Linked DNA regions of Pelodiscus sinensis. The protein of the gene in region 4 interacts with the protein of the main gene of each other region in a pairwise test. Links are inferred from orthologs where the notes say so. Each region holds a gene or a part of one and is shown on either strand. Other genes may lie near its edges. The genes, in order: GPANK1, GEM, TBC1D22B and TRIM23.

Region 1 (7,291 bases), on a different chromosome or scaffold from region 4:
GGAAGGGAGAGGAACCAACGCGGGAGTAGGAAGAAGTGGGAAATACTCCTGCTTATTCCCGGCACAGATCGACATCAGGGAACGTAATGAACCGCTGGCCCACGTTTTGGGGGATTCTCCGTCGCCAGCAATTTTTCAATCCAGATGGGATGCTATTAACTAACTCATCCGTGCTCCAGCCGGCGTGATCCCGGGAGCCAATTCCCGTGGGCCCTGCGAACCGTGAAATTGCTGAACTCACGACTCTCCTGGCCTTGGGATCTCTATCTCCATCCACAGAACCAACAAATTGCCTTCCCAGCTGCGCACTGACCCATGTTACGTCGGGAGCTCCCATTCAGCGATTCTCCCCCAGGGCCCATATGTCAAAGGACGGGTCCCCGTGGCTATTCCTGGTGGTCCGGTCTTCTATTTGGCCATGTCAAATTGGAAGGAAGAGATGGGAGAGGAGGACCCCGGGTCTCAATGATTCAGGCAAAGAGACACCACCAAGGCCAGTCCATTGTACGGCTGACACACCCACGCTGCTTTCGCATGTCTAGATGGGTACGAGTGCAGATGCTGCCCGGAAAGGGGATCATAATGAGCCCTCCTCAATTGTGACGTGCTTGTGCAAAAAACAGCTACGTGCAAATCAAGACCTCACTATATTGTAAAAGACATGCAGCCTCGTGCAAAGGCACAAACATCCCAGGACCTCGCAGTTGTGCACGAGAGAGGACAAGGAGCTCAGAGCCAGGTTGTGTGCCACGTGCATGTTTCATCCACACACAACCCTCCTCCACGTGTGTGCAAGAGGCACACATCCCATCCTTCATGCCTGTGCACCACACAAACACCCTGCGACGGACAACTTTGAAATGGACACGCACACCTGTCCCCCACGCTTGGGCAAGACACACCCTGCTGCTCACACAACTGTGCCGCACGCATCCTGGGCCGGCAGTCGTGCGAAGGGGCAGCTGTCTGGCTTCGACATGCCGGCCCATTCAGAGGGGCGGGGAGCGGCAGCAGGGTGGAAGGAGACGAGGACTCACACAAAGCTGGCAGGGGGCTGGTGACGGGTCAGGGGCTCAGACCGAGACCCCTCCTCAGCCCTGGGACCCCCACCTAGTACCTGGCTCCAAGTCGAGGATCATGTCGAGCGCCTGGCGGTAATGGGGGACTTGCTCATTCAGCCCCGTCAGGTTAAACTTGTCCTGGATATAGTCCTCATCCACCTGCGGGGGAGGGAGACGGGCTGAGAACCCAGGTGTCCGGACTCCCAGGCCCTCCTCCCCCCATGCTCCAACCACTAGACCCCACTCTCCTCCCATGGTCAGGACAAGTCCTGGCTCCCAGTTGCTTCCTCTCCCAGAGCCAGGCAGAGAACCCAGGCACTCTGGCTCCAACCACTAGGCACCACTCACCTCACAGAAGAACTCATTTCCACGCAGGCCACAGAACCAGGAAATCCAGGAGACCTCTTCGGAACTGCTCATCTTCCCGTCCTCTGCAGAGGGGGGGGGGGGGGGGCGCGTCAGGCTACCCGTGTGTGCGGTGAACGTGGCTCGGGCTTGGCTGGCAGCCCCACACGCCGCTCCCACTACAGACCGTGCAGCCAGTGCTGTGACGTGTCCCCTCACGTGTCCCCTCAGGAGCAGCCCCCTCAGGAGCAGCCCCCTCAGACAGCGTTCAGATGCGCCCCCTCTGGGGTGGGACACGGGGAGGGAGAGGGGCAGTTCTACAGGGACCCCTCTCTCGGCACTGAGATGCAGCTGGCTCTGGGGTGGGGCATGAAGGGTGAATGGCCCTTCCCCCATTGTATCTTTAACTCGTCCTCCCATGGCACGGGCAGAGATGAGGGATAAATACTCCCCCTTTGCACTGGGGCACAAATGCCCCCACCCTCCTCCCCTCTTTGCACAAGGGCAGACCGCTCATCATTGTGTGGGTCTGGGCCCCCTTGCCCTCCCGCTGCACAGCTCCCTCCTCCCCAGCTTGATACTAAGAAGGCAGATGACCCTGCCACATGCCCCCTTCGCTCTAGTGAGCACATGCCCCCCCCTTTGTGCTAGGGACAGACCCCCCCCACACACACACCCTTTGCACTGGGGACAGAACACACACTCTTACACCCGTTGGATTAGGCCCCCTCCCCTCTTTCCACTAGGATGCAAATCACCTCCGGCCTCTAAGGGCAGGCTCCCCCCCCTTTGCATTAGGGTGAAAATTCCCCCTCTTTGCACTAGGGTGCAAATCCCCCCGCCATGCCTTCCAGTAGGGGCAGCCCCCCCCACCTTTGCACTAGGAGAAGGCCCTCTTCCCTCTTTACACGAGGAGCAAATCCCCCCGCCCCCCACTGCACTAGGGCAGACACCCCGGCCTCCCTTGTGCTACAGCACACCCCCACCCCCACTTTGCACTACGGCAGACTCCCCGCCCCCCCTTTGCACTAGGGTAGAAGCCCCCCCTTGCACTACGGCGCGGCCGGCCCTTTGCACAAGGGCAGTCCACCCCCCGCCCCTCTTCGCACCAGGGCGCAGGACACTCACCCCCGCGCGCTCAGCCCCGCTCGGCAGCAGGCGGTGCCCGGCAGCGAGTGCAAACAAGCGCTGCCAGACGTGCACAGGCCTCGCTTCCGGCCCCCTCCCAGCGCGCGGGGCATGACGGGAGATGGAGTTCGCAGCCACCGCCGCCTCCATAGGAGTCCAGGGACGCGGGGCCAGCGCGGAACTACCGCTCCCACCATGCAAAGCGGGGGCAGCGGGCGCGGGGGGTGATGGGAGGCCGCGATGCACGACGGGAGTTGCAGTTCTCCAGCCGCCCGAACCGCATTGGGACGCATGGGCAGCGGGACCCGACGGTACTACGGGCGTACGGCAGGAGGGGACCCCGCGGAGCCGCAAAGCAGCATGGGAATCGTAGTCCCGGAGTGCCCCTAGGGCCATTAGAACGAACGGGCGGCAGGATGCTCACAGACTACACCCGCCATGACAGACAGAGAAGCGGCTGCGTGCGCAGCCGGGCGCCGCAAGGCCTCCTGGGAGTTGTAGTCCCGCAGCTCCCCGCGCGAACTACAGCCGCCATGTTTGAACGCGATAGGCGGGACGGGAGGAAGCCGGGGGAGGCGCCGCAAGGCCGCTTGGGAGTTGTAGTTCTGTCGCCGCCCGAGCCTCATTGCCGGGATTGGAGGGCGGGGGAGCGGGAAACTACGAAGCCCAGAGGAGGGGCGAGAGGAGGGGCCGCAGAGCATAATGGGAGGAGCGGTCTTCCCCCCCCCGCCGTCTCTTAGGAGCAGACCGGAGCCAGACGCATGGGGGAGGGGCCCGGACACCTGAAAGCCATCAGACATGGGCGTGGCCTGACCCGAAGGGGAGGGGCTTATCCAAAAAGGGGGGTGTCCGCACGCAAATGGGCGTGGCCTGTCCCGATGGGGTGAGACTTCACCCAGAGTAACTGCCATATTAAAGGGCGGGGCCAACACAAAGAGGGCGTGGCTTCCCCTAAACGGGCGTGTCCCTGCAAAATGGGCGTGGTCTAACCCTCGTGAGGGCGTGCCCCTTACTGGGACAGGCGGGATTTCCCGCAGGGGGCGTGGCCTCATCTCCGGGAGTGTCCGGCCCCCACGAAAGGGCGTGGCCTCCCCGCCGGGGGCGTGGCTTCCTTTACCCTCCTTGATGCTGGTGCTGCTCCGCCGGGTGCTGGCTCTGCTGTACTCCATGGCGCCCCGCGTGCTCATCTGCCCCGGCACGTTAATTGGTACCGGCCATGAAGGGTTAATTACGCTGACCTACAGGTTAATTACAAATATGTTAATTAGCCTGTCGCGGGTAGGGCTATTTCTGACGTAATCCGGTTAGGGTGAGGTAAATTAGAAGGTGTGTTAATGAACCGACGTCGGGATGACGTCACGCGCCTGCGAGCCGATCCTACTGTCATTAATTCCTTCCCAAATTAAATCTAATTCTATTGAAATGGGAACAAATCGACGCTAATTGGCTGGGTTCGAGGCAGAAAGGCATGCTGGGTAATATGCAAATGAGATTACCGCGCACCTCACGCTAGAAGCAGGGAAGCGCGCGGGGCAGTGGCCGTTACTAGGCCAGCGAGAGCGCGAGGGCCCTTGCGCATGCGCTGTGCTGGCCTCTAGGTTCGAAGCACGGGGCTGCGCATGCGCCTGTTTTCGGTTTCGCACGCGCGCCCCCTGGCTCGGTTTCACTGGGCTCCCGTGCGCAGGAGCCTGGCTCCTCCCTTCACCGCCTGACGCGTTACGTGACGTCACTCACGCGCCCCGCCTGCTTTTCCCGCGTCTGGAACACGGTGCGCACGCACCTCGGGGGGGGGGGGATGTACTGCGCATGCGCGTCGCGGGTCACTCGTCGCGGCCTAGAGTAACCGGCCGGCGGGAGGCTGCGTTCGAGCCGCTCCCCTCATGCGCGTGCCTAGAACCAGGAACCCCCCTGCCCCCCCCACCGGCGGCCTCGCGCGCATGCGCCTTCCCTTGGCCCCCGGGGGCGGCGCGCGGCTGCTGCGGCCTCCGGCGTCTCTATGGTGAGTGGGGCCGCGACGGCGTCTGGGGGGAGGGGCGGGAGTGTGGCTGGCCCCGCCCCCAGGGCCTAGCCCCGCCCACAGCTCCCCGAGGCGCTCGCCCCGCCCCCTGGCCCTTAGCCCCGCCCCTGGGGCGCTAGCCCCGCCCACAGCGCCCCCAGGGGGCTCGTTCCGGATTCTGGCCCCGCCCCCAGACCCGGGTTCCGCCCTCAAGGAGCTGGCCCCGCCCCCAGACCCGGGCTCCGCCCTCAAGGAGCTGGCCCCGCCCCCTCCCAGCCCCCACTCCCCTCCTGGGCTCTTGGTCTCACCCCCCACCCCCACCCGTCTCGGGACCCGGCTCCACTCCTCAAACCCCCCCCCCGGCTCGTGGCCCCGCCCCCATTTCGCTAGGGCCCCCGCCCGACCCCCCCCCCGGCACCCCACCCCCACGGCCCTGTCTGCGGGTCCCCCAAGGACACTGGTGCCCCCCCCCCCCGGGGAAATCACCGCTCTGCCTCCTACCTTTGCCGGCCTTGTTCCCCTCCCCGCTAGGAAACAGGCTGATCCCGCCCTGTGCACCGGGGCCGCCCAGTGACCCACCTCCATCCCCCCGTCTCCACCATGAACTCCGGCCCCCAGCTCATCTCCTTCACCCGGGCCCGGGAAGAGTCAGACCTCTGGAAGGATGGGCAGCTCCAGATACGGGCCGGGTGCCCTGTCCGACGCCGGGAAGGGGATGCGGATATGGAAGGCGAGGAAGCCCGGAGCTTCTATGAGAGCGTCCTGGCCTCCGGTGACCGCTCGAGTCCCCTACGAAAACGCAAGGCCCCACCGAGACGCCCGAGGGTGCCTGAGACACCCACCACCCAGACAGGGCAGACTGACTCTCGCCGTGGGAACCTGCTGCTGAGATCGGCCCAGGAGGGTGACACAAGGACCCTGCGGCGGCTGCTGGAAAAGGAGGGGTGCGATGTGAACTACAGGGACGGTTATTACTGGACGGCGGTCATGTGTGCCGCTTATGCAGGCCGGGGGGAGGCCGTGAGATACCTGCTGACCCGGGGAGCCGCATGGGTGGGCGTGTGCGAGTCGCAGGGCCGGGATGCGGTGGACCTAGCCGAGGAAGCCGGGCACCAGGATGTAGTGAGGATCCTCCAGGAGCGTGAAACGGCTCAGCCAGAGGGCAGGATGGCCAGGTGAGTCTTCGGTTCTGCTCACCTGACCCAACCCCAATCAGAGCTAGAGCTCTCTAGAGAAGAAAGGTCCCGTCTCCCCTTCCCCATCTGCCTCAACTAGCTAGTTTCCCCAAGTTGGGACCAGATGGGACCAAAAGGGGAAAGGCCCTATGTCCCGTTCCTCATCTCCCTGAGCCAACCAAGTAGTCCCTGACCCTGTTGTCTCCCTAGCAGGAGGACTCCAGCAGAGAGGAAATACTGTGCCGTGTGCAAGATGCATTATAGCGAGGACAGCGTAGAGCTCCACGAACGCTCCACGGCCCACCTCTTCAATCGGCGCGACCCACTGCCTCCCACCCGCTACCACATCCCCGAGAACAACGTCGGCTTCCAGCTCATGGTCAAGGGGGGCTGGGACGCTGAGGCTGGGCTGGGGCCTGAGGGCACTGGTCGTAAATTCCCTGTCCAGACTGTCCTCAAGAGGGACCAGAAGGGCCTGGGCTTCCGTAGCGACCTCCGGCCCAAGGTCACCCATTTCAACGCTAATGACCCCAGCGCTGTGGCTCAGCCCAGGGAGCAGCAGCCTAGGACACAACGGGCAGCTACAGTGGGGAAGAAAGAGGCCCGTCGCAGAGAGGCCAAAGCACAGGCCTGGGAGCGTAATCTGCGCACCTACATGAACCTTGACCTTTGAACTCTGGATTAAGAGCCTCGATGGTTATTCAGCTACTGGGATTGCTTGGATGGTGCATCTACATTCACTTTGACCTTTAACCTTTCACACTCACTGATTCCTATCAATGTTCAGCTGTTTGGATTGCCAGGATGGAATGTCTACATGAACTCTGACCTTTAACCCCCCGAGACAATTAACAACCCTAAAATCATGCAGCCAGTTGGATTATCCAGGTGAGGTGCTTTTTGAGAAATTCAACCTCTGGTATTTCTGATACCTGCGCTGTTAGCCAACAAACCTACAGCCCAGGAAAACTTTTTAGCCAATCAGATCCCTCATGTCTACATGAGTATTGACCCTTAACCTATGATGTCATCTTTGTGGAGTACCATTAACTAATAACGCACAGTCCTTGAAAGTATCCAGACAGTTGATTTCCTTGACATGTTGGATGCAAACCCTTGACAAAACATTGACTATGAACCAGAAGCATCTCAATGGGATCTCTGTGCCGCACCATTAACCACTCAGCCTACAGTTCTTCAAACCATTCGGCCTATTGGAATTCTGGATTGGCTGGTTGATATGACATCATTTTTCTTAAAGGGCCAGTAGCTATCAGGGAAGAGACACATCTCTGCAATCCTCACGGTCTTAGAATGCCAGATCTGCTGACTAGGCCAACATGCACAAGCTCTTGTTCCTGTAATTTAATGGGATGATTCAGGGATGGGAACGTGGCCTGGTTGCTGTTCTCCCTTCTGCTCAGAAAGCAGTGAGATGTGTGAGCAGGAAAAGATGCTGGCCGGGTTTTTTGGTGTCTGGGGATTTTGACTGATTTGGAGGGGAAACAAATCTCAGTTTTTGTTTGGATTCTATTTGATTTGGAATCTTTAAGTGAGAATAAATAGTGGTCCCTCCCTGGTTGTTT
Region 2 (7,162 bases), on a different chromosome or scaffold from region 4:
GTGTCTCTGAGTTTATTTCTACATATAGTGCTACCGTCTGTGCTTTTCAGTATTATCTATTTACAATTTTCCAGTGAATCCATCATCGCCTCTGACTTTGCTTGATCAGTCTGGGCATAAACCCTTTCATTCCTGTGGCAGAGAAAAGTTGTTTTCACATTTAGAACTACAAATGATAATAATTTACAATGAGCCAAATGAACATGCGCTACAGAACAGGGCACTCCAGGCACTTAGCCAGCTGCATAACCTCTGGATAGTTCCACAGCCACCAGCAAGATGAAAAGTGAAGCCAAATGAATAGGCCTGCCAAAGAACTGGTGTCCTTTCTGTAAAATCTGAGCATGGTATGACAGACTCCCCCCCTCCCTCCCCAAGCTTTATGAAATGGACTTATGGACATGAATATACATAACTCAATGGTGCTTTAAGTGAATTATTTTGTGTAACCCATCAATCTTCATGTCATGATCTGCTGGTTCTATTTATCTTACTTTGATGTGTGTGTAACCCCCTTTTTCCTCCCCGGGTTACTGGGGAGCAGGTCACACTCACAGGTGTGCCTGGGCGCCTGGTGTTTTAACCCAAAAGAGATCCTGAGCACCCCAGTGGTGATGGTGTCTAGTTGGGGAAAGCCCTATCCACCCCCTTACTGCAGTCCCTTGCTGGCAATGAATGTAAAATGGCAGTGCCTCCACCTGGCTGGCCTTGAACACACACTGGTGTGCCTTGAGAGCCTCCAGGAATATACTCATTCCAACATACATCTGGATCTAATTCCAGAACAACTACAAATCATTTATATCTAATAGAACACTTTAAAATAAACAATCTTTACTTAATTTGAATAAACAGGGATTAAAAGATTAGCAATGAATAGCATTAACAAACACATATCAATAATTGAAGCTTATATAGCTAGACAACAGTGACCCCACCCCAGAGTGTGCACACCCCTAGACTCAGTCCCAGACACGTGCTTGCGTTGGCGCGCTGATGTTGCAGCTGTAGTGAGGATTTGGTCCAGGCTAAACAGCAGCTCTGTTCCAGGCAGCACTTTTCCAACAAGGCCCAAACTTACTGCCTCATGCTGTGCCTATAGGAGGCAGCCTGCTAACTCCCAGTTCCAACAGGCATCCAGTAGCTGCACTCCAACAGCCCTTGCACTGGGTCAATGTCCTTGGCAGCAGCCTGGCTCCCCCTCTGGTTCCAAACTCCAAGGCAAAGTCCCAGACTGATAGGCCTCTTTCTTCAAGCACATGGGAGAGAGCAGTCCTCTCTCCCACCAGAGTCCTCCCTTCCTGTTTTTTTTTCCAAGGGCTCATGGGAATTGTAGTCTGGATTGTAGCACACAGGGTCTTTTCAGAATAAAACAGGCCCTTTTAGTAAGGGGACTACATGTGTATCATTTTTTTTAGTGTAAAATTGGGGAGCGGGGAATACTTTGTGGATTTTAAATGTGTGAATAAGAGACAAGGAGGGTGTTACCCAACTGTTAAACAATCTCTTTTGTCCTTAAGGCTGAGCAGGGGTTAGTTGGAGTGGCCTCAATTCTTTAACAAAAAGAAGAGGAAAGCAGAGGCCTTGGTCTTTTGGCTGGGCTGCACCTGAAGGAAAGCAACCGAAGACCCCAGAGTGAAGAGACAGCCCTGGTTTGGAGCGCAGCTGGAAAAGAGGCTTTAGGGTGAGTTTGAGTAAATCTGTATTGAGGTTTCAGTGTAGAATTAGCCAAGTGTTTTTGTTTCTTTTGATTTGTAACCTACTTTGCGCTGCCTGTTCTCTCTTATTACCACTTAAATCCTACTGCTTCTATGTAACAAAATCATTTTTATTTTCTATCAAACCCAGTGTAAATAATCATTACCTGGGGGGGGGGGGCAACTAGGGTGTACATTCCCCCTTTCTTTGTTAAAGGTGGCTTACCCTTATCTAATTCTTTGGGGTTTGATCCCATCTGGGGAGCGACATCCCAGGAAGCTGGGCACTAAACCGCACTCTCCTTGGACCTGAAGAGGTTCCGTGTCTGTACTGCTTCTCGGTGGGGGCAGGGACCCCAGCTCGGGGTCTTGTCTGGGGGAGACCAGCAGAGCTGGCCTAGCAGGACCAGGTGGTGAGGAGCCCCAGAGAGCGGGAAGTCAAATGGGTGAGTGACAGTGGCCGTGTCAGCACCCCGGGAGTCACCCCCGAAGGGTCGTCTGTAACCGCACTCCGTCACACATGGCCTTTGGGGCATGAAGCTGTTCTTCCAACAAGAGAATAGTCAATTCTGTATGATAGGACTTTGCAGTGCTATGCAAACCAGTATTCATAGCGATTCCCTATGGCCATAGACCAAACGGCTGCTTCTTATGGTATAAGCTTCTTATTGATATTTAACCTTAATATTGCAAACACAGGACTGGCTGGTGATTCAGTCATCCTGGAAAGCTAGTTGATACTCCAAGTTGTGATGAAGCTCTGTGTTTGTCATGCAACTTTGCATTCGGAGACATGAGCAGGTGAAAATAAGGGCTTATTCTGCTTCTCCAATTCTTGCCAAGTTTGAGTGACTTCCATTGCCTTTATAGGAGAATATTATTTTGGAGAATGTTTTTGTCTTTATATGTTGGAAAAGGAGCACAGAAAGGATCCCTGCCAAAAGAAAAAATTAACGTGTTTCTGTCGAAGAGTTTTGTAAATTCCATCTTTTCTTAGCACTATAGTTCAATGGTAGCGGGTCATTACCTAGAACACAGCTATTCCTGATTTACAGCAGTGAATCATGCTGCCCACAAAGACATTGTGTCCGTGTTCAGAAATGGATTTGAGTTCATCTGTTCAGATTTCTTTAGTTTTTTATTAGTAAAAATGTTATATGACTTTATAAAACACTTGGAGACAGTATACACTGTTGGTAAGGGATCTTCCTTGGATATGTCTACACTGCATTCCTCCTTCGAGAGAGGAATGCAAATGCAGCTGAGCGAAATTGCAAATGAAGCACAGATTTGAATTTCTTGTGATTCATTTGCATAATCGCGTCTGGGCACTATTTTGAAATAACCTATTTCGAAAAAAAAACACTGTCTAAACATGGTTATTTTGAAAGAAAACCCTCCTTTCAAAATTACCCTTAAACATCATTTTATATGGAGTACGGGTAATTTTGAAAGAAGGGTTTTCTTTCTAAATAACCGCATCTAGACAGCGTTTCTTTTTTTGAAATAGGGTATTTCGAAATAGTGCCTGGATGTGATTATGCAAATGAAGCATGGGAAATTAAAATCCGCGCTTCATTTGCAATTTTGCTCAGCTGCATTTGCATTCCTCTCTCGAAAGAGGACTGCAGGGTAAACATACTTGTCTCTATCAATTAAAATTTTCCATTCATCCTTAAAACTATCAGGACAGGAGTGTGATAATGCAGTGCTTTCTCTGGCAAAACGCCTTACAGCTAATGAGGCTTAAAAGAGTAAAGATTTAAGGACCAAGCGCGTATTTTGTAACACACAATATAGTTTTTGAAAACTATGCAGCCTTGTGCTGCTTCTCTTTTATGAGACTATAACACCTTTGAGATCAGTGGAATTCCATTAGCGCCAAACTGGAATAACACCACAGCGAATAAGATTCTGTGCATCCAAAACACATGTAAACATGAGCAAACTGTTCAGTGGCTTATAGGTTGTAAAGAAAGTGAAAAATGGGATCTTGTGCATTCATCAGTCTTATACTGAAAAATAGAACAAAATTCCTAATTTTCAGGTATTTATAAATTCTTGACCTATGACCACATACAGGCGTTAAGAGGTTCCAGGATGGTGCCCCTTCCATTTTGTAACTGGATAATGAAATATATTTGTCGCACTTGAGACATTAGAACAGCACAAGCAATTCTTTAGCCATCACTGATTTCAAGAGCACTTGCATGCAGAGCTGAAAGACACGTGTTATGAAATAAGAATTTATTGCATTTTTCCACTCTCCTGTTTCCCCCTGCAAAAAGACAAAAGGTTTACTGGCATCATTAACGAAGAAAAGAATCATATGACTGCAAGTAAGGGATTTTGTTAGTGTTACTGTAAGGTTTTGCTTCTCTGTATGCCTGCTTCCTCCCAGCTGGGGGCTGGCTTTCGTGTGGACAGGCCAACGACGTCACGGAAAAGCCCTGTCTCTGATCAGATGGTCTTAATATAAACCGGGTCTGCTGAGAAGGAATTAGAGAGGCAGCCACTCAACAGGAGAGGAATTATTCCAGCAGACCAGTTCAATATATCACACTCCACTGACCAAAGGAGCTGACTGTGTTTGGAAGAAACTGTGCAAAGTAAGGTAGTGCTGGCTGAAAAGTGTTAGTTTGAATGTATTGCTTTTGTGAAGGGAAATGATGGTAATAAGTAGATAAATGAAATGTGGCATGTGAATTTGGAATTGAATGTATTACAGTAAGTTCTAAAGTTTTGCTTAGCATGGAAATTCCTTAAGAAGGCACTACTAGCAAAGTAGACTGTTTATTATTTAACCAAATCAAAGTTAACATTTCTTATTCTGTCTTTTTGACAGTCAAAATAGATACTTGAAAGTGAAAATATTTGATTTTGTTTGTGAAACGGTGTTTCTTTGGTGCCTCCTCTCCAGCTAAATTCATTTCTTGCTGGCAAAAGTTTATGTGAACTATGGAATACACATGCACTTATTTTGCAACAAATGCTATAATTACAGATAGGAAAATGGCATAGGTGACAAGTTGTAGAGCAGAGGCAATATGCTCGGTAAAGGCAGCTATTCAAATTCCAGGTACAGTTTGCTGTTTTTCAGCACATTTGTTTGACCGGCTCTGTACTGTCTCTAAAACGTTTTCAGTGGTTGCTTAAGTTAGAAAAAATAATTGCTAGTGTGCTATTTGAGGAGATGGGGCACTTCTTGCAAACACAAATGAGGAATAAAGTTTGAAAACGGTCTGTGATGTTTTAATAGCAGACGCTCTCTTTGTTAATATGCAGAAGAGAACGGAGAACCATCAGAGTTACTCCTACAAAAGCAAAATGTATAAATAACTGTCACCTTGGGAGCTGGAGAGCATCAAAGTAACTTTCCTAAAAATGGTAGCTGTGGGACCACTAGGAATGACATCATAATATTCTGCCTCCAACCAAGGCAAAATACATTCAAAAGTCAAATATAATTAAAAGCCATGTTTAGACAAGAGGAGCTAACCTGGCTAGTTGCTCCTCAGTCAAATTAAGTTGTTTATTTAAAGACTGCAAATTTGAGCTATTTTCTCCCTGTAATTTCTACTCTAGTGGCATGATCAGGTACATACGCTGGGATCCCATTAGACCTCATTCTGCTCTCTTACACCAATTTGATACCAGCTTAATTCCACTGTGTTCCTTTTTTTTTTTTACACTGATATAGCTGAGAGCAAAATCAAGCCCACTATACCAAGACTTGTTGCTGTGGTTCTGCACTATATGTGCATTGTTTAATGTTTGTAGCTCTCAAAACAGAGTCAACTCTCAGTTGAGACTAAGCATGATACTTTGCAGGCAAAGAATGATTTCTTGTTTAACAAAGTGCGAGCGGACTCCGCTGGACTTTACATGCATATGCAGTGATGGGGAGGGTGCAACAAACATTCGCTCCATTGCTTAATCTGTGTAAGGGACAGGCACAACTGCATTCGCTGTAGTTCTCCCTCTGCACACCCCTAGAGTTTCACAGCGCCCCAGAATGGGCAGGGACGAGCTCACCGGGAATTACGTGCTCTTTGAAAGGACACAGCAGCGTGCACCGCCCCCCTCCTACTCACATGATGGGCTGCTAGGAAAGGCAGTCTGCCTTCGATGGTACCCTTCAGGGCAGTGCAGCTCCACACCATCCCCAAAATAGTGCTTAACATTCACAACTCAGGGGAGTCAAACATATAGGTTAGTATGTAATGCTGATTTCAACCTGAATCCTAAAGCCATGACGATGGCTTGCTAATTAGAAACGTTAGAGGCAAATGAAAGAGGCAACCATTCTAATTCTTCTTTTGTCTGCACACCAGGTGTTTTATTTAAACATGGTGACCATTGCTAATTTTGGGGGTCTAACATTTGCAACTTCGCTATTTTTTACTAGGTAAAAACCATGACTCTGAATAACGTCACCATGCGTCACAGCAGCAGTGTGCTGCATGCGCAACAGCAACGCTGGAGCATCCCTGCCGATGGACGACACCTGACTGTCCACAAGGACCCCCATGAGTACTACATGCGCAAGAGATACACTATGAACCCCGAAGATTATTACCGAAGGAGTTGGTCATCAGAGTCTTCTGATTCGGTCATTTCCTCTGAGTCCGGGAGTCCCTACTACAGGGTGGTATTGATTGGGGAGCATGGAGTGGGAAAATCTACCTTGGCCAATATCTTTGCAGGCGTACATGACAGTATGGACAGTGACTGCGATGTGCTAGGAGGTAGGTCATTACATTCTGTATAGTCTATGTTTTCTTAAAGCCTTTCTTGTCAATAGTCATCAGTAATAACACAGAAAACTACTGAGGTTGTTTAATCTGGCAGCCCTGAAACTGAGATGATACACACTTGGCCCTTATTTTCAAAGCTGATTCCAGTATATCCTGTATAAAAATTAGGGGCTATGAAAACACAAAAAACCCTCACTGACAAAGACTTACCTCTGCTGAAATACAGAGGAAAATATAGCATCTGAGCCTTTTGAAGTCTGATTAATTCTTAACTGTGCTGTAAATGCATCAGATCCTAAATTAGGGTATGTCTACACTACAGAGTTAGTTCGAACTAACGGACGTTAGTTCGAACTAACTTTCATAGGCGCTACACTAGCGCTCCGCTAGTTCGAACTTAATTCGAACTAGCGGAGCGCTTAGTTCGAACTAGGAAAACCTCATTTTAGGAGGATTAAGCCTAGTTCGAACTAGCTAGTTTGAATTAAGGGGTGTGTAGCCCCTTAATTCGAACTAGTGGGAGCCTAGCCCTCCCCAGGTTTCCCTGGTGGCCACTCTGGCCAACAACAGGGAAACTCTATTGCCCCCTCCCGGCCCCGGACCCCTTAAAGGGGCACGGGCTGGCTACAGTGCCCGTGCCAGGTGCAAGCCTGCCAGCACCCAGCCAGCAGACCCTGCACCTGGCACGGCTCGAGCCACCCACCCGAT
Region 3 (7,052 bases), on a different chromosome or scaffold from region 4:
TTCTTATCCCCTCTCTTTCACTCTTGTTCAGAATCGAAAGTTGGCCTTTGTCTTTGGCGCGCTTCCAGCCAGAGTCTCCTGCTAGCACCTGGGGAGAAGAAAAGAGACACCCTGTAAGAAGCATAATGTGCAGTTATAAAAGTGGCCTGGCTTCTTATCAAGGGTAGACTCGTGCTGCCCTCTGGCGTTGGCATCTCCCATTTGGGCATTGAAACGCCACCAGGTTTTCATGGGCTCAGTGCTTGGCTCTTCTGAAAAATCTGACCCCAGTGAGGGCTCCTGACTGCTAGAAAATCTGGTCATAAGAATCCTGGTCTAACACCTCCTCCCCTCCCTTGAATGTCAAAGGGAAACTGGGCATAACCAAGTCACACTCAGGCAGAGCGGGTAAACGATGCAAGCAAATCAACCTGCTAGCTGTTCATCCTGACTTTATGCTCACTTAGTCCTGGGGTAATTGCCTGCACATGATGCAGGGCAATGGCAAATCAGACCCATTCCCTTCTCAAATTGCTGCTCAACTAATAACATTTTGCCAATCTAGAGCACTTTCTGAGGTCCTCGGAGCACTTTGGAGAGTACTGAAGGAACCCTCTGCTCTTCTGAGGGCATGCGTCATGAGCCTCACTTTACACATGGGGAAACTGAGGCACGAAGCAGGGTGGTGATTTGTTGACAGTCAGAAGGGCAGGTTGACACTTGAGTTGTTCACCTTGAATAAATGAATTGCTAATTAACTCAAGGCAGTTACTGTGTGTCTGCACAGACTTGCTGGGATGCTCCCCAAATGCCTGTTCCAGAATTGCTAACGTTTCTTTACCTCAGAGTTTGTCTGTAGCCCGTAACAATAGTTTAGGACAGTGCTACACAGACCTTGATGACCTAAGAGCCAAATTAGCAATCAACAGTACCCAAAAGAGCCACAGGAATATGAATGACAGGGAAATATTTAGCTTATAAAACTTTTTAATTAATTTGCTGTTAGACTATATAATTTATAATTATACTTAGTAATTTAGTGCAATCTGATAACAATTCATTAATAACACAGTAAAACACAGCACCGTGATTGGTTAATCATTAAATCACGTAGTCTTTTAACATCCTGTGCTGCACAGAGCCCCAGGAGATGCATTGAAGAGCCAGTCTCAGGCCTGGTCCACCCTGGGAGTGCTCAGACTGGCTCTCTGCAAAAGCCCTAGCTACCTCAACTGAGTCCAAAGAGCAAACTTGGGGGCAGGCCAGTGCACAGAGAAGCCAGGAGTCCCCGCATCCAGCTCTTTGTGTTAGTGGCCAAACCACCCCCTTTCATTTATTTACAAAACAAGGTAGGAGAAATAAACCTGGTCCAGATTTTCAAAAGTGGCCACCGTGGGAGACTTTCTGAGGATCTGAGCTCCCGTGAGGGGACTGAGTCATTAAACCTCGTTTGACAGGGTCTGTCTCCAAAGGAGCTCAGCTTCCATTTAGACGCCCAAAGGCAGTGGCCATGGTTCTGAAAGGGAGCAGTGAATTGCTGAGCACATCTGTAGCTTTGTCCATCTCCTTAGAATTTTGGCACCAGTTTGGGTGCTGAGATCTTGAAATGTTGATGAATAATGCAGCTAGGCCAGGGGCAGAGTTAAGGGTACCTGTGAAACAGTCACTTTGGCATGCCCTGACATTGGGTGCCTTGCCTTGCAATGTTTATCTGACACAGAAATTGTCATGCAATATTTAAGGCGTGTGGAGGTGTGCGTGCGTGCATGTGTGTGTTCCAAAGGCCTTAGAAAAGAAAGATGGTCTGGTGGCCAGGGCACTAGTCTAGAAATTGGCCTCTTATGAGGTTCCAGTTAGCAGGCCTGGCTGGCAATTGCTGTATCCCTGCTGGAGGCAGCCAGAGCCATGTAAGAACTGCCAGGGTAAAGTCAGCAGCCCAGCAAGCTGGTTAGTATAAGCACCAGAGTTATTGACTTGAGTCCCACGACTTGAACTCGAGTCCGACTTAAGTCGCCGAGGTGACTCGACTTGAGACTTGACTCAGGTTCATTGTTTGTGACTTGAGACTTGCTAATTTTGTTAACTCGACTTGGTGAAAAAATTGTCCGAAAATGCCGACATCAACGGCTTGTACAAAAGTGACTTGACATTTTTTAAATTAAGACTTGAGACTCGACTTGGGACTTGACTCAAAAGTGACTTTAGGGACACGAGACTCGACTAGAGACTTGAACTGTAGTGACGTGAGACTCGACTTGGACTTGACAATGACACCTTGAAGACAACACTGATAAGCGCTGTACGTCTGTACCTACTGACAGGTTTTATGCTGCTGCCCTTTGCTGTGATGTCTGAGAACCTTCTAACTAAAAATGATAGGGTGACCCTATCATCCCTAGTAATCATCCCAGATAAACTATCTGGCACTTTGTCCTTTTCGGAGTTAAAATCTCTGCTTGGCAGAGCGGGCCAGGTTCGGGGGGCAGTGGTTAGATTGTGTTTGTTGATTTGGTTTGATAGTTACTGATCTGGGACATCTGCAATGGGAAGAAAGTCTGTATATTCTGGACCTTGTTGTTATAAACTTGAAAATTAGGTTTTATTTGGTACTGGGTCTGCATGCCACAATTGCAGCTTGCTTAGTTTCCTGTTTGTGCTGTCTTGGTCATTTGGTTGCCAAGACAAAATTGTTATTAAACATGAATTGTTTTTAAACATATAAGAAATAATTACAACAAATGCTCCTGAAATAGACTGATTTTTACATTAGTTGTTTTTTAATTTTTTTCAGTTACAGACTAACAAGGCAACCTCTCTGTGATTTTTATATTTTTATTCTTCAAATAATCCAAGAGCTTCTAGGGAGCTAAGCAACCCCCACTGAAAGTTGCCCCTTCACCACTGAAATCTGAAATGGCATTACTACTTTCTGTGAGTTCCTTGTTAATAAGGATTATAATTACTTATTGTTTGTATCCAGTAGCATGGTTCAATAAGACAATGGAAAAGTTACCAATTTAGAGAAATTGTATAACATTTCAGTAAGGAGAGAGAAATATCTGTAGATCTAATTGTCATGCATACCCATCTCTCTTACCTATGTTTCAATTTGCCCATGGGTGGTATGTACTGTGTTCATCACCAGGCTAACTAAGTGCCTTATAAGTGTTATAATTTTCCTTGTGTGATTCCATCCCACTTGCATGAGCAAAATAAGATTGTTTTAAAAGTGTGAGCAAATCAAGATGGATTTCCACCCTAATTCCAAGAGGCACAGGTTCAGATTGGGACTGGGAGCTCTGTTTTGATGCAGTCCAGGATTAGACCCTAAACTACTCAGGTAGAAGTCTTTGAAACATCTAAAATAGAATGAAGTTGCAGGACTTTGTGATGTGAATAGAAAAAGTGGTTTTTTCACACTCAGCCTGAAGTACCAGAAATGTAACTTACAGCCAAACAAGCTGTCACTGGAGGGAGCAGGGAGGTTTGAGGACTCCCAATGGAAAGTTTGGGGAAATGACATTTAACTGAAAAGGGAGATGAGATGGAAGCTCCAACTCTAGGGGAGCCCAGCCACTGCACAACCCCTCTCCCTCTTTCAGTGCAAAGTGTTTAACCCCACACGACCCCTCCTCCCCAGTGCAGCTGGTTTAACCCTCTCCACCTGTCCTTCCACAGTGAAGTGGTTTAACCCATTCCCAAGCAATGCAGACCCCCTCCACCCCGCCTCCCTGGGGCACATGGTTTAACCCTCTCCTCCCCAATGCAGACGGTGTAACTCCCTCCAAGCGCAAATGGCTTAATCCCCTCTGTCCCTCCTCCCCAGGGCAGAGGAATTGTCCAATTCCCCCCTCCTCTCCCAAGGGGGGTGATTCGTCCCCTTCCAAGCACTGGAGATGGTTTAACCTAGCCACCTCTTCTCAGAGGAGATGGTTCGCTCCACTCCACCCCTGGACATGGTTTATTCCTTGAGTGCACAGATGGTCTCTCCCGCCTCTCGAGGCCCTGCCCCTCTGCCCGGTCCTGGCCTCCCTCGCTTCCCGACCCTGCAGGATCCCGGCTCTGGATTGGCTGAGCTGGAGGCCGCGGAGCAAGGCAGCCAATGGCCGGGCTTCGCCCTCCCGGATCCAAGATGGCGGCGCCGGAGCCTGGCAGCGGGGCCTCCGGAGGGAGGAGGTGAAGCGGCCTCGGCCCGCGGCTCCGGGACCTGTCGCCGCTCCCCCCTTCCGGAGCCGGCCGGGGCCCGGCCCCAGCCCCAGCCCCAGCCCCAGCCATGGCCGCCGAGAGCAGCAAGCAGTTCTGGAAGCGGAGCGCCAAGCTGCCGGGCAGGTGCGTGCGGCCCTCGCCCCCACCCCCCCCGCCAGATCTCCGCCCCCCCCGGCCCGGTCAGACTCCCCCGCCTGACCCCTCCCCCCCCCGGCCCGGTCAGACTCCCCCGCCTGACCCCTCCCCCCCCCCCGGCCCGGTCAGACTCCCCCGCCTGACCCCTCCCCCCCCCCGGCCCGGTCAGACTCCCCCGCCTGACCCCTCCCCCCCCCCCGGCCCGGTCAGACTCCCCCGCCTGACCCCTCCCCCCCCCGGCCCGGTCAGACTCCCCCGCCTGACCCCTCCCCCCCCCCCGGCCCGGTCAGACTCCCCCGCCTGACCCCTCCCCCCCCCCCGGCCCGGTCAGACTCCCCCGCCTGACCCCTCCCCCCCCCGGCCCGGTCAGACTCCCCCGCCTGACCCCTCCCCCCCCCGGCCCGGTCAGACTCCCCCGCCTGACCCCTCCCCCCCCCGGCCCGGTCAGACTCCCCCGCCTGACCCCTCCCCGGCCCGGTCGCCCCCCCCCCCCGGCCCGGTCATACACCCCCCCGACTCACCCTCCCCGGCCCGGTCATCCCCCTCCCTCTGCGGCCCACTCCCCCTCCTCGCCTGCCTGACCCCCCGCTCCTCCCCCGGCCTGCTCTGCTCATCTCCCCTCCCCCCACCTGACCCCTGGCCTCCCCTCTGGCCTGGTCACCCCCCCCCGATTCCCCCCCGCCGGCCCAGTCACTCCCCTCCCCCACCTGACCCCCAGCCCGGTCACATGCCCCCCCGGCCTACCTGGTCACCCCCACCTGCCTCAGTCACAGCCCCTCCTGACCCCCCTCCCCCATCTCCCTTTTATATTCCTCCTGATTGATTCCGGACTAGTCCATTAACTGATCATTTCCAGCTGGGCCTGAGAGGAGCCGACCTGCCTGGGAATGGGATTCACTTCTCCTATCCATTTGTGGGTACTTGTAATATGTATCTCTGCATAGCTGCAACCTTCACCAGGGAGCCAGTGACAAAAGGGGGGCTGTGCTGGAGCCTGTTAACTAACCTTCTGTGCACCTGCATCCCCCAAGTCTCCATTCAGTGGGGGATGACAAGCTGGAGCGGGAACAGTTTGGTTTGGCTTTTTTTTGGGGGGGGGGGGGTGAGGAAGCAGTGAGTCCTTTCCCCTTCCCTCTGCATCCTGAAGTGGGGAGGGGGCAATGTAGAGAGGAGCTTGCTGGGTGTCTAAAGGCCTACTTCAGAGCTAAGAGCACAAGGTGCCCCCCTCGTCCTCAAGGCCAGGCACGGCCCTGGACAGCAGAGCCTCCCAACAGAACAGGTGTCCTTGTATCCCATGTGAGATTGTAATTCCCTGCATTCCTCTTAACCCTGCTTCCCAGGAAGTGTGGGAGTCTGGGGGGGCACCTTCCCCACCTCACTTCCTCTGGCCAGGGAGCAGCAAGGGAGGCTTACTGGGTGGGAGGGACTGCACCAGCCATTGCCTTGAAATAGATTAATGACAGCAGGGGGCAGGAAACTTGCTCTGGGGAGAGGCTCCCCACTTGTGGCTTTGAGAGGAAGGTTCCCAAAGAAAAATTCAAAGCAAATCCCCAGGAGAAAGCGAGGGAATAGGGAGGTTTTACCCACCTCCCTGTGAGGAGTATTACAAGGGTAGGTTAAAGTCTGAGCGCTTCATATGGGCATCACCGTTTCCACGCTGCCATTAATCTCATCTTGACCCTGCAGTCCCCTCCTGGTGTGCACGTGCAGAGCCTTTGAAATGCTTAACTGGCTTTAAATCCTGCTTGGCCAGTTAATCTTCTCTTTCTAATGCACTCTCACTTTCACTCTCCCCCTGCTCAAACTGAGGTTGCTGGGACAGTCCAGACCTGGGAGAGTGGTGTGATGCTGCAGACATCACCCGCAGCTCCACCTTTTTTTCTGACAAACGAATGCCACTCTGCATATGCACGTGTCTTGGAGTATAATCTTACTATCGGGTACATGTCTTATCTGTAGCCCACATCCTGCCCGTGCAGAGGGTGCTCTCTAAGATAGCAAGTTTTTTCCATCTCGAACAACTTTGAGCTCCGCTTTTGAGAGCTTAACCAGGCAAACCCGTTTGGGGAAATAAGTAGGAGCCAGCCAGCCCGGAACTCAAACTAGGGCACTGGATAAACTGTTCTCTCCCCCAAAAGGCCAGCATGCTAATAGTTTGTCAGATCTAGCTGTGTGTGGTGGTACTGGCTCTGTTCCTAAATCCCTGCTATAATCACCCACGCTTGGAAGCTGTCAGCAGAGAGTGGAGGAGGGAAACAGGAGATGCTAGGTTTATGGCCTCGGAGGTTAAGATTACTTAAGAACTGCTTATCCAACCTTTCTGGGATCTTTTCCTGCATATTTGCTGGCTCTTTCCCAAGTCTGTGCTGATCACCCTGGAAGGAGCTGAAGATAATGTCAAAGTTTGGATAAGCACTTGGGCTTTCTCCATTCACCGCATCTCTTTGTGATCAGTTTCAGTTGTTCTCTAGCTTGGTGTTCAGCTTGGTGTGCCACCAAGAGGTTCTCTAGGGCTGTCACGGCTGTTCCCCACTCTGACAGGATAAATGCAGAAGTTGGGGGCCCACAAGAGTACTCCAAAACCTTGCCTCTACAAGCTCTGGTACAAAAACTTCCCTCCAAAATCCTAATACCCAGATTTTGGGGGACCCACTGCCACCATCAAGTGCTTTGAACCCCAAAATAAAAACACAAATGGGTGGATACCTGGGGTACCCCAAGCTCTTTTTCCC
Region 4 (7,311 bases):
CCCAAGCTTGGGGGAGGGGGGGCGCAAAGAGGGGACTGAAGGCCCAAACTTGTTTGGCCCAGATCCCAGGCAGGAGCCATGTGGGGAGGCAGCATCACTGAGTCTGGGTACCCCAAACCCCATCTGTAGCTATGGGGGGGGGGTGTCAGAAGCCAGGAGCTCAGGCAGGAGCTATGGGGCATGAAAGCTCCAAGTCCTTGCAGGAGCTGGGGGAGGAAGAGGAGAGCCAGACAGGACCACAGGGCAAGAGGCATAGCCCTGAGTCTGTCAGGAGCTGTGAGGGCTGGAGTTGAAGAGGGTGGCAGCCCCCACCCAAGTCCTTGAGCTTAGACAAGAGCTATAGGGGGTAAAAGCTCAAAGTCCCAGCTGGAGCAGCAGGGGGCAGCCCACAGCCTAGGACCTGGGCAGGAGCCAAAAGAGAGGGGGCAGCACTAAGCCTGGCAGGAGCTGTGGAGTCTAGAGTTGCATGGGGTGGCATGCTCCAACAAAGACTCCTAAGCCCCAGCTCGGGGTGGGGGAGGGCGGAAGGAGGGAAAGGAAGCAGAAGCCCCAGAGGTCAAGCACAAAGATCCCAGAAAGAGGCCACAGGGAGGCTGGGGAAGGCCTGAGCTGGGCAAGAGCTGCAGAGGGTGGCAGCCTACTAGACAGGTCTCCTGAGTCTGAGCAGGAGCTATAGCTAGAGCCTGGGTGGCCCCCAGACTAAGGAAGAGCTGAAGCAGAGAGGGGATAACAGCAGCCCAAAGCTGTGCCAGGAGTTGTGGGTGGCGGTGGCGGCAGCAGCAGCCAACCCAGCTTCCCCGAGCACTGTTCCCCAGGCCATCTGCCCTGAGCTCCAGCAAGAGGCAAAAAGGGTGGAAGCCAAGAGCCCATCTTCATTTTTGTGCTGCCTGTGGAAATAAATCTGATCTCCCTCTGTCATGCAGGGGACAGCTAAGTCTTGTCCCTCTGCAACATGGCTGACCTCAAAAAAGTCACATTTCATAGGAAAGAGTTTCACGATTCTTGACATGCATTTCATGGGTAGGGCCCTGCTTATGTACTTGAGTAGTCCCACTGAATTCAACTGTTACAGGATTGTGGACTTCATCTTAAATTACTCATTAGTGCTACTTAACATGAATGTGCAGGTACAATGATAAATGACAATGCCAAAAGCAATATCACCTTTATTCAGAGACAAAAAGGAAGACAGATTATTTAGTGCTCTGCTCTCATTGCTACAGGTTCCAATTCACTACTGACAAAAATTGTCATCACGGCACTATGGAGTTCATCTCCCTTGCATGTTTGACTTGAAGTACATAGAATAGAAAACTCATTAAATCAGTTATGGACTGTGGAGACGAAGAAATAATTAAGTATGTAGTTGTCTGTGGAGCAAAGAAGAGTTAGAAGACAAAAATACATATGGATATCAAATGCTATCGTCTTACGAACATGTAAATATTCTGCTGCACATGCTGAAACTCTTCTGCAAACTGAGGTTATTGCAGAACACAGAGTTTTCATCACCCTAAGTCAAAGTTGTTTACGTGCTCTGTGACTTCCACAAGCTTTCTAGCCTTTCCCTCTCCAATCCATGCAGAACAGTATCACTACAGTAGTCATCCTTTTCCCAACTAGATCTTCTCTCACCCTCACGCCTCTTCACCTGCAAAGCACTGCATAGCTTTCCCACCGCCCATAGCTTTGTGTTTCTTTCAATCCGACTGAGGTGTTTATAGGCTTGACCAATCTCCTATTAATAAAACAACATTCTTCACTTGTATATTTTTCCTTCAAAGAGTTTGAAGTACTTATTCCTGAGTGAAAAATTATGCACCAAACTCCCATACCTTCTGCAAATGCTGTTTGTTAATGAATAAATATGGAGGTTCCATCACGGCAGTGGAAAACACAGGTCACTGGCTGCATGGAGGTGGATGATCATCGTACAGCCCTATGCTCACCCTTATGGACTAGCTGCACCGAAGCCTAAAACAAGGGAAGAGCCAAGCCTGCTCCTAATATATCCCAGGATCCTGTCCCTCTACACCAAGCGCATCAGGTATGTGGAGGCAGGTCCAGATTGGCAAGATCCAAATGTAAAGGGGTTTAGTGTGTGGGTGGAGGGGATCCAAGTGTGCAGTGAGTTCTGTACGGGGCAATGTGGATGCAGGTGGACTAGTGGGGGCTTGAAGTATGGGAGTTCTGGATGCAGGAACAGTGGTTGGTACTCTGCATGAGAGGTCTGGATGTATGTGAATGGTTCTCAAAATGGGTTCTATTGTGTGTGTGTGTGTGTGTGTGTGTGAAGCTTGTTTGGATGGGGGCCCAGGTGCATATGTCTGGGGCTTAGAGAAGTAACAGGCTCAGTGGGGTAGTCCAGGTTAGGGATATAAGCAACTCATCTACTGCCCAATAAGCATATGTTTATTGGGTAGTCAAGTACTGACTCCATTAGTCACTTCCCTCTGTCCCCGACTTGCTGCCACCATGAGAGAGAAGCAGAAGTTGGGGGAAGCAGGAGCCAGTGCTGGGGGAAGACAGCTTAAAAGGGCCAGGAATCAGCTGTCCCGGCTCACGCCTTTTTCTCCCATTATGCCTCTGCCTTCTAGAGGTATTTAGAGCCTGGCAACTTTTAATACATTTAGAAGGCAGAGATGCAGCAGGGTTAGCTCCCAGCCAGTTTCCCTCTTATCAACGAATCGAGTAGTCGATGGAAATTTCATTGACTACTCGACTAGCTGACTACCTGCAATTTAACATCCCTAGTCCAGGCAAAAGTGTATTAGGCTCTCTGTATTAGGCTGCACAGAAGCTGCACAGAAGCTTGGGGGTGGGTGGGGATTTGGCTCTGTATGGGATGGTTCTGTCTGGAGACACTCATTTGTTGAGTCATCTCTCTAACTGAGTTCCCTGAAGTCCGTCCAGTCAGGTTTTCTGGGCCCTGGAGCACAATACATGCTTAAGATTTAACCTCTTCTTGCCTGTGCTGTATCCAGGAGGAGGCTGGATTATGTTAGTAGCCAGCAGCAACCTTAAGGTGTTAGCTGCTTTTTGACAGTGGGCAGGGAGGCAGGGACAAAATAGTGGATGGTGGGGGAAAAGAGAGGAGTTCTGCAAGGATATGCTACTACCCACTGTGTAGTGTGCATGCATGCGTATGCATGTTTTCTCCCTGTGAGCTCTCAAACTTTAAAAAATAAGACAGATGGCCACTCACTTGAAAGTGAGTAATTTTTTCTGTCCTATATTCAGCATAGGGAGATATGGTCACCCTACACACAACCCACATCGTCTGATTACATAAGTGTTAATCTCTGCCCAAGTCCTACTGAAAACTAGCCTATGATGCAGTTCTTCCCCGTCTGCTACTGCACATTTCTGTGACACCTCCAGCAAGTGCAGCGGTAAGCAGGCAGCCCCCAGGACAACACCTGTGCGGTTGCTCTTTAGTACACGCAGGTCTTCACTCTTCCTCCAAAGGCGCTAGTCGCACCGGCCCGCTTCTCATGCCACCCCGCAGGGCAGGGCAGCGCCGCCTGAGCAATACAGCCACTGTCAGGGCTAAGGGGGAGGCAGGGGCCCACCCCCAGGAACCCGCGACATACCCCCGGCCCGCTTCCCTGCTCCACCCGGTGGCCCCAACCGACAGCCGGTGCCTGCGCCTCGCTTTCTGCCCCACCCCCGGCGGAGGGCCTGGGGCTGAGGCCTTCCAGGGACGCGCTTCACCTGCCGGCCCAGCCGGGGAACGGGCCGCCGCGGACGCAAAGGTTTGGGGGAGGGGCGTCGAGCTGCCGTCTCGGTACCTTTCAGAGCCAGCAGATGCTCCTGCTTCGGCTGATTCACATCCATGGTCTCGGGCACCCCACGCGGAGCCTTCGCCGCCCACACCCCGGCCAAGCGCCTGCCAATGGCGAAAGGAACACGACGCGGCTCCGCAACTTGAGCCCAACCGAGCGAGTCCGGGAAAACCCGGAGGTGAGTTTCCCGGCATGCAACGCGCCATTTGGGCCCCAGCAGGAGCGAGAAAGCACTACACCCCCCAGCATGCACTGCTCCCTTTGAGCCTTGGCACGCACAGAGGAGCACGAGGGACTTGCGCACGCCGAGCGGTGATAGGAGGAGTAGTCTTCTAGGGAACCTGGACTAATCGCGTTGCATGCTGGGAGTTTAAGTCTTCTCAAGGTGACTGAGCGGATGTCGGCGTATTATCTCCGAACCTGTAGTTTTCACGAGTTGAGAGCCATTGTATGATGGGAACTGTAGTCTTCCTACGTCTCACGGGGAATGAATGAGACGCATGCGCAGTGACGTTGTCGGCGGCCTCCGGAGAAAACCCCGGCAGGATTATTTTTCATTTCTGCGCGGATGCTTCGCGTAGTGACGTCACAGCGCAAGGCCGGTGGCGTCAGCGCGTGGCCCGTCCTCCTGTCTCTGCTGGCTTATTGGCTTGTTGATGCGGAGGTGGCTCGTTCCGCCTCCCTTTCCCAACATGGCGGCTATGAGTGTAAACAAGGCCGGGCCCGGAGCGGCGCTGGATACCGGCCCCCGGCACAGCGGTAGCCGGGGGCCGGCTGGGGCTGCTGTCAAGGTAAGAGGCACCGCGTCCGCGCGGGGGCTGCCCGCCCGGTTCGTGCCACAGCGCTTGTCGGAGCGTAGTGATGCTGCGCCCCTGCCCCGGGAAGGGGGCTGGGTGGTGACCCGCGCGGGGCTCGCAGCCTTTTCCCAACTGCGTCAAACAGCCCCTGTGCAGCCGCCGCCGCCTCTTCCCGTGGCTTCCGCGCGGGCATGGAGAAGCCCGCCAGAGGGAGGACGAATGATTTGCTGCGGCTCCTGGGTCCCGTCGGCTCCCGCGAGTGCAGGCGGCAGCCCGCTGGGAGACGAGTGGGCTCCTAGCGTGGGGGCGGGGGTTGGCCCTACCGACTGCACGGTCCGTTTAAAATCTAGGGTGTCACAGCTTCAGATCTTTAAATCTGAAATTTCATGGTGGTGTAACTATGGGGATCCTGACCCAAAAGCGCGGGACAAAGCTGTTTTAGAAGGGTTGTGGTATTGCCACCTCTATTTCTGCACTGCCTCCACAGCTCGGTGTCTAGAGAGTGGTGGCTGCTGGACACCAAGAACCCAGCTCTGAAGGCAGTGTTGACAGTTGAAGTAGGGGTAGAGTAAGGGTGACAATAACATAGCATGTTACCCTTTTGCGCTGCTGTGCGTAGCCTTGACCAGGAGCGGCCACCCAGCTCTTCAGGTAATGCAGAAATAAGGGTGCCAATGCTGCTATTGTCTTCTGATAGCCAGATTTCATTTACAAGACCATATTTCACAGTCCGCTAGAGAGTCTGGTGAGGAAAGTCAGGGGAGGGAGGCACCATTGGCCACGTGATTCTCCCCACCCCACCCCTGGCTGGAGGACGGCTTACACAATGCCTCTCTGCCTCAGGACCCACCTCTTCCTATCGCGGCTCCACCCCTGTCCCATCTCTTTCCCCAAGACCTTACCTAGGAGTTATGCAGCCTGCAGGACTAGCAGAAGTTTGATGCGGGTAGCAGGGTTCACAACCTCCCTGCACTCACCCACAACAGTGAAGAGAAGTGGAACAAAGCACTCCCCTAATTGCTGGCTGCTGTTGCTCTACTTCCCACCATTGAGTGCAGAGGAGGGTGGTCCTGCCCAAGCCCCAAATGGTTGGTAGCTGGGATGGAGGAGCAATGTTGCTCTGCACCCTTCCACCCTCTCTCACCCAGCCACTGCAGTTGAGTGCAGGGGCCAAACCCCTGCTGTGAGCACCATGCTCCCTAGCTAGTTTCTTGGGTTGTCCAGAATCTCTAGCCCTTTGCTCATCATGCCCATAGTATTAGGGGGATCGTGTGCACCCTCGGCCTTCTTTCATGCATTATCTCTGCAGTCCTAGCTGTGAATTTGGTAGGGCCCTAAATAGGGATAAAATACAGGACTATGTAGCACTTTAAAGACTAACAAGATGGTTTATTAGATGATGAGCTTTCGTGGGCCAGACCCACTTCCTCAGATCAAATAGTGGAAGAAAATTGTCACAACCATATATACCAAAGGATACAATTAAAAAAATGATGAACACATATGACAAGAACAAATCAAATTTCAGAACAGAGGGAGGATGCGGGCGGGGGGTGGGGGGGCGGAGGTAGATGTCTGTGAGTTAATGGTATTAGAGGTGATAATTGGGGAAGCTATCTTCGTAATGGGTGAGATAGCCAGAGTCTTTGTTGAGACTCAAGCGTAGAGTGTCTAATTTTAGCATGAATGACAGTTCAGAGGATTCCCTTTCAAGTGCAGATTTAAAAGGCTTTTGAAGCAGGATGCAAGTGATTAAGTCGTTGAGACAGTGTCCTTTCTGGTTGAAATGGCAAGAAACTGTTTTTTCTTTGTGATCCTGTCTAATATCTGTTTTGTGGGCATTGATCCTTTGGTGAAGTGTCTGAGACGTTTGTCCAACGTACAAAGCAGACGGACACTTTCGGCACATGATAGCATAAAATATATTTCTGGATGTGCAGGAATATGTGTTCTTGATCTTATAACTCACTTGGTTAGGTCCAATGATGGTATCAGCAGAGAGAATATGTGGACAAAGCTGGCACCGAGGTTTGTTGCAAGGGAAGGTACCAGGATTGGTATTAGTGTGGTATGTCCTGTGGTTGTTGGTAAGAATCATCCTGAGGTTAGGTGGTTGTCTATAGGAGACTATGGGTCTGTCTCCCAGAGTCTCTTGAAGTTTAGTGTCCTGTTCCAGTATGGGCTGTAGTTTATTGATAATGTGTTGGACAGATTTAAGTTGGGGGCTGTAGGTGATGACAAGTGATGTTCTATTGTTGGTTTTCTTGGGTCTGTCTTGAAGTAGATGGTTTCTAGGTATTCGTCTGGCTCTTTCAATTTGCTTTTTTATTTCTCCGGGTGGGTAGTTGAGGTTTATAAATGCTTGATAGAGATCCTGAAGTTTCTGGTCTCGTCAGTGGGATTAGAACAGTTGTATCGAAGAACGGTTGTATCGAAGGGCTTGGCTATAGATGATGGATTGTATGGTGTGTGCTGGATGGGAACTGGAAGCATGTAGGTAACTGTATGAGTCGATGAGTTTTCTGTAGAGGGTGGTCTCTAATTTTCCATTGTTAATTTGTACTGTGGTATCCGGGAAATGGATCTCTCGTGTAGAATGGTCCAGGCTGAGGTTGATGGTGGGGTGTAGATTGTTGAAATCTCTGTGGAACGTCTCCAGTGTTTCTTGCCATGCGTCCAGATCATAAAGATGTCATCGATATAGCGTAAGTAGAGAAGGAGTAAAAGGG

Evidence for each region.
Region 1: the proteins of TRIM23 (region 4) and GPANK1 interact in binary tests that used the Homo sapiens proteins (3 or more experiments, as listed by UniProt). The link is inferred for Pelodiscus sinensis from reciprocal best matches to the Homo sapiens genes TRIM23 and GPANK1.
Region 2: the proteins of TRIM23 (region 4) and GEM interact in binary tests that used the Homo sapiens proteins (3 or more experiments, as listed by UniProt). The two-hybrid records come from large-scale screens. The link is inferred for Pelodiscus sinensis from reciprocal best matches to the Homo sapiens genes TRIM23 and GEM.
Region 3: the proteins of TRIM23 (region 4) and TBC1D22B interact in binary tests that used the Homo sapiens proteins (3 or more experiments, as listed by UniProt). The link is inferred for Pelodiscus sinensis from reciprocal best matches to the Homo sapiens genes TRIM23 and TBC1D22B.

Annotation. Positions count from the first base shown.
Region 1 is NW_027466017.1:274,840-282,130, forward strand, and holds GPANK1 (G patch domain and ankyrin repeat-containing protein 1), read left to right. Parts: upstream 1-4,291; 5' UTR 4,292-4,533; intron 4,534-5,061; 5' UTR 5,062-5,130; coding exon 5,131-5,705; intron 5,706-5,915; coding exon 5,916-6,378; 3' UTR 6,379-7,284; downstream 7,285-7,291. Other genes in the region: CSNK2B (casein kinase II subunit beta), read right to left, coding at 1,118-1,220, 1,410-1,492, 3,652-3,721.
Region 2 is NC_134712.1:40,657,717-40,664,878, forward strand, and holds the start of GEM (GTP-binding protein GEM), read left to right. Parts: upstream 1-4,155; 5' UTR 4,156-4,306; intron 4,307-6,105; 5' UTR 6,106-6,114; coding exon 6,115-6,445; intron 6,446-7,162. UniProt on the Homo sapiens protein: Could be a regulatory protein, possibly participating in receptor-mediated signal transduction at the plasma membrane. Has guanine nucleotide-binding activity but undetectable intrinsic GTPase activity.
Region 3 is NC_134737.1:16,850,283-16,857,334, reverse strand, and holds the start of TBC1D22B (TBC1 domain family member 22B), read left to right. Parts: upstream 1-4,033; 5' UTR 4,034-4,252; coding exon 4,253-4,308; intron 4,309-7,052. UniProt on the Homo sapiens protein: May act as a GTPase-activating protein for Rab family protein(s).
Region 4 is NC_134716.1:90,184,240-90,191,550, forward strand, and holds the start of TRIM23 (E3 ubiquitin-protein ligase TRIM23), read left to right. Parts: upstream 1-4,292; 5' UTR 4,293-4,441; coding exon 4,442-4,576; intron 4,577-4,667; exon of another isoform or gene 4,668-4,801; coding exon of another isoform or gene 4,802-4,915; intron 4,916-7,311. Other genes in the region: TRAPPC13 (trafficking protein particle complex subunit 13), read right to left, coding at 3,792-3,837.